Struthio camelus: one gene and its partner. The protein of the gene in region 1 interacts with the protein of each later gene in a biochemical or structural test. Links are inferred from orthologs where the notes say so. Each region holds a gene or a part of one and is shown in the gene's direction. Other genes may lie near its edges.

What was found. The genes of interacting proteins can lie anywhere in the genome.
Region 2: the proteins of PDZK1 (region 1) and CRHR1 form a complex in vitro, tested with the Homo sapiens proteins (2 studies listed by BioGRID and IntAct, with this or other methods). The link is inferred for Struthio camelus from reciprocal best matches to the Homo sapiens genes PDZK1 and CRHR1.

Annotation. Positions count from the first base shown.
Region 1 is NC_090942.1:106,741,958-106,749,224, reverse strand, and holds the start of PDZK1 (Na(+)/H(+) exchange regulatory cofactor NHE-RF3), read left to right. Parts: upstream 1-4,262; 5' UTR 4,263-7,267. UniProt on the Homo sapiens protein: A scaffold protein that connects plasma membrane proteins and regulatory components, regulating their surface expression in epithelial cells apical domains.
Region 2 is NC_090966.1:3,502,320-3,510,115, forward strand, and holds the start of CRHR1 (corticotropin-releasing factor receptor 1), read left to right. Parts: upstream 1-4,783; 5' UTR 4,784-5,104; coding exon 5,105-5,152; intron 5,153-7,796.

The DNA of each region.
Region 1 (7,267 bases):
GAATAGATGAAACCAGTGATTGATTTCAGCTATTTAAATCCTGATATTTTCACCTTACTTTGTTCAACTCAAAGGCAGCAGTACCAGAGAAAGACAAACCCCAAAAGTTATTTCCCAAGGTATCTTTGGGCTGCTGTCTTCATATGCATATACTTGTGGTGACTGAAGAAAAATTTCAAGCAAGGTTGGCAAATTGCCACAGTGGTGGGCAAATACCAAAAGAGAAGGTAGATTGTTTGTAACAGATAATTTAAGTCAAACTGAACTAAGAACGGTATAGTCGGAGGGACCCCTGACTAGGTAAACTATAGTTTTACCAAAGATACCCACACCAGATTAAGTGGTTCTCAGTAACTGATCTGTAACTGTGTAACACCCTATTCTGGTTTTACAACTAAGGTTCCAAAAAAGCACTTCAGAGGACTTATCAGATCTTTCTAGAGCCAAATCTGGACAGGTCTAGCTTTCAGTTTTGTAAGTGATATGGTAGTAAAGCCTGGTTCCCATCAAAACAGTGAAAGAAGGAGATATCCTCTTGGCGCTCTGAAACTGCTCTTTTCCTACTGTGGGACATAAGTGCCCCTGGACCAGGCAGGACAAAGCCATGCACCAGGCCCTCTGGACTTCCAATAGTCCTGGCTGTAATCTACCCTAGCTACTTGCCTTCACCTCAATCATGCATCAGGTCAGCCTTCTGGACGTGTTGGTCTACAAACGAGTTAAGATCAAGAGGCCCCCCACAATGAAGCCCAACCTATCACAAAGACTTTCGCCTCCTAACTGCAGTCCCAAATCTGAGGCTAATAACAGCCATGCATAAGACGCTCTTTTTTGTCTTATCCCCTCTAGAGTTTTAATAAAACATGGGTGCCTGCCTACTTATCACAGATTTCCCTGTAATACTAAATTATAAAGGAATGTGCATGCACACAGAGATGTAAGTGATTGCAGCAGTATATCCATATAACTAACATACTATCTTAAATCTGCCTGTGTTTAAAAAAAAAAAAATGTGTGCGCACAAAACTAATCTGCCAAAGGAGGGAAATTAAAAGTTTTAATCCATTCTGTATCAACACAAAACATTTAGGCTGAGTAAGCCTGAGAATCATTCAAAAGACAGCAACTGTGAAAAGCCAAGCTACTTCCTCTGAGGCCTAAGACGCAGGCTATGCTCCCTCAGTTTCATAAAATTCAGTCATGTGCTGTGCAGCCTCACAATGGGAATACTGCCTGTGTTTATCTGAGTGTCAGTTTTGCTTCCTATTACAAGTTTAAAAAATTTTTTCTTTTCTCTTGTCACAATCCTAGAAAGCCAAAGAAAAGCTGAACTGCAATTTGCAAGCCCTTCTGCTCCGGTTTCCAAGCTTATGCCAACATCTTTCTCAACCTCCCCCTGTACCTCAGTTCAAGGCTTAGTTTGTTGGGTTTCTTTTAGTAGAGTATCACTTTCATAAAACATTGGCTTGTACAAATGACAAATGGGTTATCATTTTTGCTTCCCTATATCTAGAATTAAAAAAACAAAAACCCAAGAGTTCTATACTGGCTTGAAACAGAAAGCTTTTTGCCATAGTGATCATTATTACTCTTAATCACCTTGTGAAGTTTTAGAATTTTGAAGGGAACTCAGAGGGCTTACAAATTTCATACCTCAAGATATATGTATTCTGTAACTACAGAGAGAACAGGTTCATGTACCAATTTGTCAAAAGCTGCAACTTAATTTTTCTTTCCTTTTTAAATCAAAATAATAAAAAAGTGTAATGTCAATCAAGTAGAAATAAAAGCAAACCTTGCAAAAATCAACATTCCACGTTTATCTAATTATTTATGGAACTCTGCAGTATTAAGGTGAATCAATAGACTATCACAGTCCAATGATCAAACTCCCAGACTAATATAACACATTATTACCACTCACAAAGTCAGCACTAGGAGGAATTTCCGTAAGGGTTGCCCTAGGAGAATTTAAGGCATTGACAATATCCTTCATCTTCAATTCCCTACCCAGTGATCTAGCTACAAAAGCACATGGATAATGAATAGCACCACTTACTTTGGAATATAAATGCCTACCTGATTTAAGCGTCCATTAGCTACCTCTTCCTTACACCTTGCTGTCACTAAACACACAGTTGGGAAGATTCTTATTCCATCATCCTCTTTAAAGGGACACACTGTTTCCATGGGCTTAAAAGAAGGTGTGACAGTTAAATCATATAAGGGCAGATTTAAATACCACCATTAACACCAGCGAATCTGACTTGATTAGTGACAAGTTGTGGTTTAACTTTAGGAAATCATTATAGGGCTCTGTTGGGAATCTCTCATATGCACATACAAATGAAAAGCAATAAATAATGGCATAGCTTCCAGAAAAAGCAAAACAAGAAGGGAGCAGAGTTTGAGTTAGTGCTTAACTTCTTGGGACCTTGCTATTTATCATATGGATTCAAATAATGTGGAGCTTACTGGCACACACACAACTTTCCTCTGGCCATAGGCCGGCTTCCCCAGTCACCTAAATCTTTAAATTCTCTCTACTGTGGATGGCCTGCCTGAGGAAGCAGATTCACGTAACTTCAGCTATGCCCATGGCTAACAGAATTTTGTTTCCTTTTCCACAGCTTTTACTTCTTCAGAAGGGGTGTCCTGCTGGCTCCGCTTCAGAACCGAATTCAGCATTTCTGGATAAGTTAAGCAGGCCCAGATGTCGCCATGTCACTTAGGACGATCTTCCACAAAAAGTGGGTATTTTAGAAAGTTTGAGTGTCGTCTTCCAGTTGAAATCAGGGACATAAGCTCTGCCATCATCAAAACTTGCTCTTACAACCAAGCCAATGTTATTTCCATGTTTGCATTTTAAGGAGATTTATTCTGCTCTTAGTACTTAGGCATAGGTTTCGGGTAGGGTCAGTCGCTTGTTTGGAGATTTTCACCAAAGAAATTGAAGAATTATAGAAGCTTATAATGAACTCTGCTGGCCTGTGTAGCTTATTAGAATTTATTTTTGTAGTAAATAATTTTCTCATATTAAAATTATCTTGGGTTCAACTAATATCTAGATTTATATTCCTCACAACGCTTATAGTAACTGTTTTCAAGGTTTACCCAGGAACAAGGCTGCATTCTGCATTTACGTAGCGCCTAGCATAGCGGCAATTGTTTCCTTCCTGTGGCAACAAACACAAGCCTTACAAAGCCACAGAGGTGACAATAACTAATGAAGAGCAGCCATTATCCACCCCCATACATTTCTATAAGCATCATATAAGCCACATCAGAGCAGCACACAATAATTCCCTCAATACAAAGGCAATTATAAAGCGACCAAGAAGATGGAAACGTCTACAGGCAGCCTGCATATAAATCACATCTTTGCCTTCAAGCCTACATTCAGACTTTCCATTACGATCACTGATCTCAGAGAGGTAAGTGAATGCTGTTCCAGTTCAAGTCCTTCCGGTAGCAAGACGAGATGCATCCAGTAGGAAATCTGAAGCAAAAGTTAGATCCCTGGCATATGAAAAAAAGTCACAATGGATCTCCTGGCTTCAGTGAAGCATTTATATTTGCTGAGGTTAATGCAAACTAACCTCCTCCCCCGCAACATCTGTTCACACCAAGCTTAGGTCAAAGAAATGTTATTATAGCATCTCTACTGACAAAGTGAAATAAAATACTCAATAATAAAGAGGTGATACAGAAACCAGGGAAATTTCCTGGATTGGTTACAGATTTTTTGAGGGGTGTAGGAAGGGAACTGGAAATGGGAAGGGAAAGAGATTCAGACCTGTTTGCTGTCTAAGTCTTAGGTCTGTATACTTCCTGTCTCATAGAGCTGTACTTTTGGAGGAGCAGTATGTGCTTTCTGTAGTGATTACATAAGCATCTGTTCCTCAAGCTCCTTAAAGGAAACAGTGGAGTAGATTTCTTTTTTTTAAATACAAATATTTCCAAAGCTTAGAAAAACTAACATACACTGCTGTCAAATTCAGAAATTCATCTCCAAAGGGCAAGAAACGCACTTGCAACTGAGATCTAAGTAACTTACTCTGTTCATTCATAGATCAGAAAAAGCAATTTTATAAGCTTACATATCCGAGGAAACGAAAAGCATCAGGTGCTGCATGGATTTGGAAAAGCTAGACTGGTAGATTAAGAAAGATATATATATATTATATATATATATATATATGTTACAAACGTCTCAGCATCTTGCATGTACAAAAACTTTTGATTGATACAGCAATTAAAATGCAGAACTGAAGAAATTTATGTCCTGAAAACACCCAATATAAGGAACTGCAAAGAAAAATCTTCCCACATTACCAGTGCCCGAGGGAAAAAGAGAATTCCAAAGGCATTGCCACTTGAGTAACTTTTAATCCAATCAAGTTCTGTTGCTGTTATCCGAATAGTTTTGCAGACAGGCAGATTTCTGTGCATGCTCACAGATATATACACACAGGTATACATCCATTTATTACGGACAAACACATTCCTCCATTGAGGAACCTACTCAACTCACAAAACTCCTAATTTATAAGGCCTTCAAATTTTTTCTTCAATACAAAATTCCAGTTTTTAAACATTGAGTTCAGCCTGACATGGCAGCAAAAGAAGCTGCACAAACATCACAATTAACTCTATTAAAAATTCAGCATTCAAAAGCTCAACTCATAATCAATACAAAATCCTTACTGAAGAACTAAAGAAGAAAGCACTCATTTGCAGTTTATGTTCTCAAGCGAAAAGGACATTAGGGAAGATAATTCACTATTTGAAATATAAAAAGCAAAGCCTGAGGGAAGGGAACTGCCACTGTAATCCCCTGCCGACAGGTCTACCAAGAAGAAAAGGGCTGGCTTCCCTTGACCATAAAAGTTCCACTGGATAGCAGAGTACTTTTATTTGCCATAAACACTGGCTGATTAGGAACAGAACATGATTTAGGAGGACAGAAGGCCCAAAAGCTAAAAGGAGGGATATTGTCTCCTTCTCCTCCCTAGACCAGCAACGCCAACTCTGTTTGCTTCTCCTTTATTTCCCTGACTTTTTACCGTATCAGGATCACGCGGTCACCAGAAAAAGAAAGATGTACATACCCAAGCGGTAATTAAAGGATGACTGATGAATATTCATTTAGTAGATCAAGTGAACTTTGCCTCATATTTAAGCAGGATCTCAGCGAACTAAGTATTTCTATCATCAAAGCACTTGCTGTTTTGCCTAATAGTTGCCAAAGTGGGAAAACATCACTGGCAGAATAAGGGGCAAAGTGAGAAGGCTGTACTGATTTTTAACAGGCTGGATACAGGAACAAATACCAGACACCTTCACAGTACTGTGCTGAGGGAGTCCTTAAAACAGTCCAAGGCTCTGATTCATCATTCTTGTCGCATTTAGCTGGGACAGCTGAAGAGGCCACTGCCCCCTCCGATGAGGACAGTAGCTTCTTCAGTCACCATACCTCTACCTGACAGAGGCTATGAACTAGAGCCTTCAGACATCACAGTTCACAGTCATGTATACTAATATAAATTGAAAGCAATAGTACCTCCTGTTAATACATTGGGTTGTGGTGGCTTAGACCAGGCATACCACCGTTCTGTCACTCTCAGGTACAGGGGTATAATTATCTGCAGGGAGCTGGGGAGAATTTTTCAAATTGTCCCAGCTGGAGTCAGCAGAGGACGTTAATAAGAGTCCTTGCTTTCCCAATAGGCTGCATCCGAAAATTAATTTTCATTAATTAGTTTGTGTCATATGACTCCAAGAAAAGGACAGCACTACAAAGAGACAAGTGAGCTGATGGTCAGTGAGTATGCAGCAACCAAGGCAGGCAAGCAAAAATTATTTAGAAATGCCTCCTTACATGGGTTTTAAAGGGCATCCAGACCCATGCTCCCCGGCAAGAGAGTTCAGCTGCGATTAGCATAGTCACTATTATAAAGATTAAAGAGGGAATATTTCTACAGCAAAGCATGCACATAAACCTTTTGTCAAAAAAAATAACGCTGACAGTGATGCGTATCATTTGAGTAGCCAGCTTATTTTCAAAACTGAACAGGTGAAATGTATTCATGCAAATTTAGGTTTAGACCCTTGTAAAGCTTTGTTAACAAAAAAGGTATCCTTTATTCAACAAAGCTTTAGAGCTTTAAGCTTGTATTATAAACTTCAAAGATCTACTTCACAAATCTGTCATTAATAGCCATGTTTTCTACTCCTCTCATCCAGTGAAATGACCACAAAACCCGTTTCTTCACTACTGCCAACAGAAAACACACACAGACACACACAAACGCAGGTTACCAAAGAAAGTAGAAGTGATCCAGAGACTAGATAATACTTTTTTTTTTTTTTTTTTTTTTTTTTTTTAAAACTCACACATGAATCTGTATAAACTCTTCAGAGGTCAATAACAGTTACATACGAGCCATTATCTTGGCACCAATGGGCATTAGAGATCCACATGCTCCACTCACGTCTGTGTCTAAAACAGGGCCAAAAAGCAAACCTGACATCTGGACAGCACTTCTTGTAAAGAGTGGGACCTTGACAAATAGCTTTTATTTTGAAGTTAAGACTTATCAAAACTTGTGAATTTACTAAAGCCAGGGATCCTGGCAAGCTCCAAGAACACAGGCTCCTTTTTCCATTCACTAATGTGCTGAGGAAACCATGCGACCACTTACAGCTACTAGAAAATGTTTCTGTCTGGTGTAAATCTAAAACAAATATCTGAAACAGATGGCTCCTTTGGTAACACAGATAAGTAGGATAACTTTTTCTGACTGAACATCAGAAAGCTCTAGCAAAAAGAACGATGGAAAGGATTTTGCAAATGTTAGCATATAGGAAAATGCAAGGGGAGGAACAAAGGTCCTTACATTACCACAACTGGCTATAAAACGGGGACATCCTTTGCGGAGAATGGGCCCCATAAATCTAGTCCCTGTGCTAACAGAACCACACCACCTAAGTCACTGTGGCCAGCTCCGGCAGTATCAAAGTCCTGAGAATTTGGACGTCTTCCTAGAGATCTGTAGGCCGTGAAATGTTAGAGGTCAGGGGGTTTTTTTGCTTACGTTCCTCATTTTTGTAATTGTATGAATGTTTGAGAGCACAGTCCAAAAGGCTCAAGAACCATAAGAGTTGATATTTTAAGTTGCCTTTATTCGATTCCATTCTTAAGTAAATTTCACTTTTACGGGGGAAGGACAGAAGAGGTCCCTCAAGGGCTCACCAGCTTTGGATG
Region 2 (7,796 bases), on another chromosome or scaffold:
GCCAGCCATGCAGTGTCACTTCTCTTACCCCACTTCACTCCACACGTGCAAAGCTATAGACATGGTTCCTCACCTCTGCCCTTGCCACTGGCACATGCTAGAAGCACCTGCATGTCCCTGCCTCACCGGAGCTGCACCTGGCCACCATCCATGCAACAGTACCACATAAATACAAGCTGGCAGAGTGAGGGGCATAGCCCTGAGGGACCTGGCAGCACAGCCCAAACGTCCACAAGGGAGGGATGCCATCAGGCACCTTAGGCAGAGATGCAGCCTGGGAGGCTCAATTCAGGATGCATCCTTACACTGCTAAGGGAGAACAGAGTCATGTACGGGACAGCTCCATGCTGGCAGGGTAGTGCATCTCTCTTTTGCGCTGTGCACTAAAGCAGAGCACTTTAGGCTGCTGGATTGATGGGATCAGTCTCCAGAGTAAAGCTGGGGAGCTTTACCCAGCTACAGACTATGGGGTTTTGTTTGATGGGAAACGCCAACTGGAATGAGGAGAAACATTTGGCAGATTTGGGTTGACTTTGGTAAAGCATTTTGATTGCAGAAAATAATAATTATGACTATTATGATTATTTTATCATTCTCCTCAAGGTTTAATTAGCTGTAAAACAAAAGCCTTTGTGTTTCTGTTCCATTCAAAACGACATTTCCTCCCAAAAGAAATTTTAAAAATACAACAGGCTATTTTAAGACACTCAGAAATTGAATGAGATGCTTAGTTAGATCTTAGTTCTTTGTGGGTTTCTCACCTTCCTTAAGTTGGCTTTTTTTAATTTGCAGACACTGTTTTGGGGCTCAGTGTCCTTGGCCCCCTAACAACATGTCACAGTACTGGTCCACCCACCCAAGCTGGATATGGGTTTAGACTTCATGAACTGGTAGGGAGTAGCTCACACATAGGTTGGCTTTCTATGCATAAACATGGTGAACACGTGGTGTCTGCCACTGCATCATCCAGAAGCTAGCGCCAATGTCTGACTTTTATCCAGAGCATTAAATTGAGATGTATGAACATGTGGCAAATCCCTGCTTACTCGGAACAACGTCCGTGTTTGATGCATGAGATGAGCATGAGCGTCTCTTCTTTGGCTTGCTCCTTGCTCTACCTGACATGCCAGAGGGAAACACCTTCCAACTGAGTGGGGAGTTTATCTCCTTGAAGCACTCAGCCAAGCCAGCTACTAAATGGGGGGGTTATCTCCCCCCTTTGCCACTTCATCCCCATGGAGCACATTGTAGAAACCAAGCAACAGTGGCAAGGCCAAGGATGAAGGCTTCCACCAGCAAGCATGTAAGAGTAGCCCTCCCAGGTCAGCTCACAGGTGAATCTAGTCCAGCACACTGTCATGGTCTGTAGTCAACCACAGGTGTCCAGGGAAATCAGGGAAATGCAAAGCAACAGGAATCCTTAGCAAGAGCTCCTTGGAGCGCACTTCCGACTTCCAAGGACTGTGGCAGAGGGACAGGCTGAGCCAGAGGCAGCATGATAAAACTTAACAGTTCTTGCATTATTCTACCACAAATCTGACCCTTTGTGCATTAGCACAAAATCCCTTGGAGTGAGGATAGGGAAGCACTGGGCTAGCTGGGCTCTCTAGCACTAAGTATCTCCAAGAATCAGTAGACAGGCATCCATTACGGCTAGTCAAGGCAGAATACTTCCTGCCTTGGAAAAGAGGACAGACTAGATAAATCCTCCAAGGCTCAGTATGAACACTGTTAGAGCTATCTGATCCACACCTACCTACCAATAGGGAAACTGAGGTATAGCCCCACAATGGTGATCTCAGCTGCGGTTTTCTGCAGCCAAGCACACCAAGAAGTTATACACTAGACTTCCACTAGCCTGGCCTGAATGTCCTGGACTCTGACAGTCCAAACAAGATTTTTCTTTATTTTTTTTTTGTAGACATCACACTGGTAAGTAAAGCCCTGTGGCTCACACCTAGCAGTGCTAGAGCATCAGCTCCACATGGGAATTTGGGACACGTGTGCTTAGCTCCTGCATGTGCAAGCAGCAGTCCTGGTTGCCTCCCCTTGGCCATGCCATGCAAGAGGGACAGGCACAGCAACATGCTCCGGTTTTCTCTAGCTGCACTCAGCACGGGGCGAAGGGCCGGCTGCAGGGTGGATGGGGACAACACCAGCAGCACTGTGGTTGTGTAAGTCACGCGTACAGCGCCAAAGTGCAGGTGTCCTGGAGCTGTTAGGAAACAGAAGTGTCAAACCATGTGCAGTTACATAAAGAAATAATAATGTACCAAAGGCAGATAAAGTCATGCTAAATCACTGCTCTCCCTCCTTCCTGGATATCCGATATTTCTCTTCATTTCCCCCATCCCTAATACCCTTCTCCCACATTCATCTCTCTGCTGCACGGAGGAATTTGAGATTAACCATGACGAATGGAGTGATTTCCTTGTCTAGGGGACTGTTTTATTTTTCCTCTGCCACATCTGACAAGTTGCATTTTCCTATAAATCCCCTCAATTAGGCCTTTAAAACAGCACTGCAGTCGTTTCCCTGATATATGGGGAAGGAATTATCTTAATGTCCCTGGCAACCACTTCCTTGACTAAAAATAGTTTGGGTGCACTTTCGCTTCCCTCCCATCACCCCATGGTTTTGGCATCTGATAAGAGCATGGTCACTGCATGCATCTTGCCCAGAGGATGAACTGCAAGGCCTGAGGAAGGGGAAAACTGATGCTTTTGCCTTTTTTCTCACCGTGACCAGCCTCGGTTCGCTCTTCCTGTGCTCAAGAGGGGCGTGGGAAAACAGGGTCAAAGCCTGCTTTGCCTGGAGGACTTGAACCCGACCTCTTCCCCACTGTCTTTTCCAGGCTCTTCTAGGGTGAGGGAACTTTCTCAAGGCCTCCTCTCAAAACTTTTGCATTTTAAATTGGGCTAATTGAAGCTCAAGGTAATACAAAGGTGGATCTGGAGTCTATCTGGTCCCGTCACTTGTCAAAGGGCTGGGATGTTAGGAGACCTAAGAAATAACAAGTTTCCTGAATTTACTAGAGCTTTACATATTCTCAAACTCCTTTCCCAAAGCAATGACACAGTTGATTAAATCCAGCTAATGCTGGAAGATTTATGTCTGCGTTGTTTATTGCTTTAGTTACTGGGCCAGGAGGATTTACCCTTTGAGGCCTGGGATGAACCATCCACACAGCTCCTGGGTGTAACCCTTGGCTGGCTGCTCACGTGCTACGGTCCAGCCAGCGGCCAGCAATCCTATGTACAACCACGTCAGCCAGGGGTGCCTGGAAGAGAGCAGGATATGACCCTGGCCCCTACATGGTTTGGAGAGAGACACTTGCCACTGACACGTTGGCACTTAGATATGGGAAGGGGGAAATGTCTCTGGTCCCTACAGGAGCATCGTGACTGGAGGAGGCTGCTGGGAAGAAGGTGTCAATGCTGATGTGACATCTCCCATCATCCCTTTATTTTCCCGGAGATGCAGCTTGACTCTAGTTGTTTCCACAAGGAAAGAAAAAGCCATAACTTGCTGACTGGCTCTTTCTCCTGCTGCTGAGTCACTGCAAGCAGGTAGACTCCCGGCACCTTTCCCTGGGGCCAGCACAGCGGCTGTGGTTTGCACCAGCCCCGCAAACCCCAGGCAGGATGTGGAAAGCGTGCCCCAAAACCCTACCCCAACTCAGGGAGCGGGCTTCACCTGGCGCAGGCCACGCCCAGAGATTCGACACCTGGGACATAGGGAAGTCTCTCCCACGCTCACAGCCGGGGCTGACGCATCCCCAAGCACCACTGGAGCTGGCAGGAGTGTCTCATGGTTAGGGTGGAAGGGAAAAAATTAGTCAAGACCCCAGAAGTCTTGTTCTGCATGACCTCTCACTGCCCTCCACCCTCCCCAGGACACTTGTCCCCAACGGACACATCTCCCCCAAACCAGTGCCCCTCTACCCCATTAGTTCAAGCCCTCCTGTTTCTGCTGCATTGCCTGTGCCGTGCCACTGCCAGTCCTGCTGGGGAAGCCGCTCTCCACCCAGCAGCCTCCCACCTCCCCTGTTACTCAGTTTCCCCTGTTATAGCCTGGTCTGCTTCCTCCAGTCCAAAGCCAAGCCTAGGCTCTCCTGGGGCTTGGGCGAGGCTTACTTGTGCTGCAGGCACAAGGATGGACATGGGGCCATAGGGGTAAGGAGCAGCTCATCTCTGCCAGGGAGTTACAAGGCACAGGGCTGCTGCAGCCCTAGAGGAAGCTGATCAGGGCCAGCAGAGCAAGGGAAGACAAGAAGGCACCAAGAGCCCCTGCTCCCTCTCCAGAGGGAGATGCTCAAAGGAAAGGACAGATCCTTGCTCTCCCTTCCCTCAAACCCTCTCCCAGAGCCTTGAGCAAATCCTCCTAAAAGTTGCAGTCAAAATCCCTTTGCATACACACACACACACAAACACAGGTGTCCACAGCCTCCATAAAAGCGCTTGCAGCAACAGCAAAACGCCTGCCTTTGCGGAGGAATAGTCTCCCACTAGAGAGCGGAGGGACAGAGCCGGGGGACGTGGTCCAGGCTGGGCAGGGGCTTGCCTGCCCCACGTAGGGACGCATCCCCAGCAGGGCAAGGCAGGGCAGGGGGACTGAAGGGCTTCCCTGGGCAATCGGAAAGTTTGGGTTGCAAAAGATGCTGAGGGAGGGGATGGCAAGAGAGGAAGAGTTGCAAGGCACCGGGGCTGTGGAGGAAGGAAAAGGGGAGGAGGAAGCAGCGGAGGAGGAGGGAAAGACAGGGGGAGTGGGAGGATGGCAGAAGAGATGTAACCCATCCCCAGCCGAGCAGGGGAGCTGGAAGGTGGGGAGCCCAGACGACCGGCTCGCAGCAAGATTATAAAAGGCAGGAGCAGGTTGCTGAGCAAAGGAGAGGGAAGGCGAAAGGCACCTGCTTCCCTCTGCACAGCCCAGCTGAGACTCAGGGTGGCGGGAGTTGCAGTGCCAAGAGCCTGGGTCCGTGTCGATGACAAGCTCGTTTACACAAAGCCCAGAGGATTTTACCCCAGACAGCATAAGGAGCCCAGCAGAAGTGGGGACTGCTGCCAAACATGCCTGGGAGAGCTGGGCATAGTGGGAGTTAAGGATGATGTCCGGCATACGTCCTACCCTCCTCCTCTTCCTCCTCCTGCAGGTAAGATGCTCGCAAGCCCTCTTCTCCCGGATGGGTTCTCCTTCCTTCCTCCCCACCACCCCTTTGCCTCCTGGACTGCCAGGTTTCTCTTGAGTGACTTTTCCATTGCTTTGAATGAAGGGAAAAGTGAAATGAGAAAAACCATTACCAAGAGCCCCCAGAAGGATTCCTCCAGTCAAGTCATGGGGTCTTGGCAAGTTCCTGGTGACCAAAAAAAGGCGGGGGGTGGGGGGGGAGGGAGCTGGCATCAGTGAAAGGATCAGTCCAAGGGGGGGACTCCCAGCCTGGAAGCAGGGGCTGAGGAACAGGGCATGTCCCCAGGCCCTGGCGGTGGCCAGGAGAGCCCAGCTCAGGGCTAGCAGCCGGGCATGCTGGAGGAGCCAGGGCAAGCTGCCTTGCAGACCAGCCTGGCTCTGCCTTGCACCTCCCAGTGTCACCAGCTGCCACCAGTTTCCCTTATTGTGCTGAGAGAGGGCGGGGGGGTGGCTGCTCTGGGGGTGTGATGGACAGGGATGGCACAAATGCGTAGCCTAATTCTATCCCCTCGGTTGTTTTCCTAAAGAAACTGCTCCTTTTTTCCCCATCAAGCACAAGACTTTCCTCTTTAAATTGTTCACGATGGAACTGTAGCCACTGCTAATTTTGCAGCTCTGCACAAAATGCAAATGCTTTGTCAGAAACAATATTCCTCCTCCCCGAGAGCTCATCGAAAAAGCAAATGTTCCCAACCCAAAGAATGTTTAAATCCCAAACCCTGGGGGGATGACAAGAAAAAAAGGTTTTCAGTGAAAACCTGAGCATTATATCAACAAAACTGGATATGCAGTTACACAAAACAATCAGCTTTTTGCTTAAACGTCTGTGTCAAGAGGGTGAAAAAGAATTTGCATGGCTCTCCACAAAATGCTGTCTCAATAGCACAGTTGCGATGCAGAGTTGAAACGACAGGAAAAAGCAGCGGGTCATCCCTCCCACCTTAGCACAGTTGCAGTTTGTATCCCATGGGCTGGTTTCAGAGCCATGCACCACCCAGCAGCAAGATCAGGGAGAAGAATTTAGCTTCACATTTGGAATAAGAAAGTTCTCACTTAAGTGATGCGAAGAGCTAATACGTGCCAGCCAAGCCTGCTGCCAAGTTGGTGTTGCTTTTTAGAAGCTCCTCTTCTGAACAACCTGCTTTCTTCTTTAACTGCATAGCCCTTATTCTGTTTTATGAGAGCTCTTCTGCGGTTATGTTACCCAGTGCAGGTTTTGTTTGGCTCTGATGTAAGAAAAGGTGAGGAAGAGCAGCCCTGCACCCATGCATGGGGACAACATTGGCAAAGCAACAACGCCTGCGCAAGAGAGGCAGGTTCTGCAGTGGGCAATCTTAGTCTGCCCGCCGAGAGTTCAGTCTTGTGAGAAGCCCCAGCTATTCCTGGCCATGGGCAAACAGGTCTCCCGATAGTGCTGATGGTCCTCAACAACCACTCCGGCAAACTGGAGACTACCCCGATAGTGCTGATGGTCCTCAACAACCACTCTGGCAAACCGGAGACTACCCAACCGCATTGGCCAGCCCTGAAAAGAAACGCTCAAGCAAAAAAGTACCCCTTCCCAATATAATTTTTTTCCTGAGAAACATATGCATTCAGAATTCAGCCCCACTTTCAGCACAGTCCAAGCCCCTGAAAGCCCCAGCACCGCAATTTTCCCATGTGGCCATTGCACGGGGCCTTGCATGGGGTCTAGGAGCGCGGCCCCAGCCATGTGTGAGGCCAAGCTTCTCGTCTCTAAGCACTCTTAGCCGCATGGGCTAAAAGTGACCACGAAACTGTAGCCCAAAGGGAGAGCGTCCCTGCAGCCAGGCAGACCCAAACCAGCATCCAGCCAGGAGCGCAGAGACCTGCAGCGGGTGCTAATCTCTCCTGCTTCGGCAGGTTTTGCAGGCTGCAGATCTCTGAGCTGGCACAACTAAGGTGTTTCCAACGCACCTGGCTGTCAGCTCCAGTTTAGCATAGGTTTGTCCCCGTTGCCTTCCCAGGTAGACATCCCTTGGAGAAAGGACAAACGGACAAAGAGATAGGCAGCCAAACTTGAAACAGGCTGCAAAATGCTCTTTTTGTGCCCTACAACTCATTTAAACAAACGAAACAGAAAGAAACAGTTCACCTGCAGTTTTGTCAGGGACTGATGACATTTCTGGGGCTGATAAAGTCCTATTATTTTATGAAAATGAGTTTGATGGGGTGGGGGGTGGGAGATTCCCCTCTCCCTTGCCCTCCTCCACATCCAGTAACAATAAACATGAAAAAGGGCCACCACCCCTTCGCTACTCCAATCTCTGCAGGAGACGTGACGCCTGCAGCAGCAGGACGTGCTGACCCTGGGGATCTTCCAGTCCTGGATTTCCTTAAAAGCCTGAGTTAATTCTGGGTGTGTGAAATCACCCCCGTGATTTCACATCTCCAGTGAAAAAGCGAATGGCAATGGCGCAGCCTGTTCCCAGAATAGCTGCTGTATTGCCATAGGATGAATGTATAGAAATACAATGAGTCTAGCCTGCGGACACCGTTCGACTCCATCCTGAAATACAGCCCTGCTCCCCAGAAATTCAGCGGAGAGCCTGCTGCAGGTCCAGCCCAGAAGTCTGTTGTGAGTGATG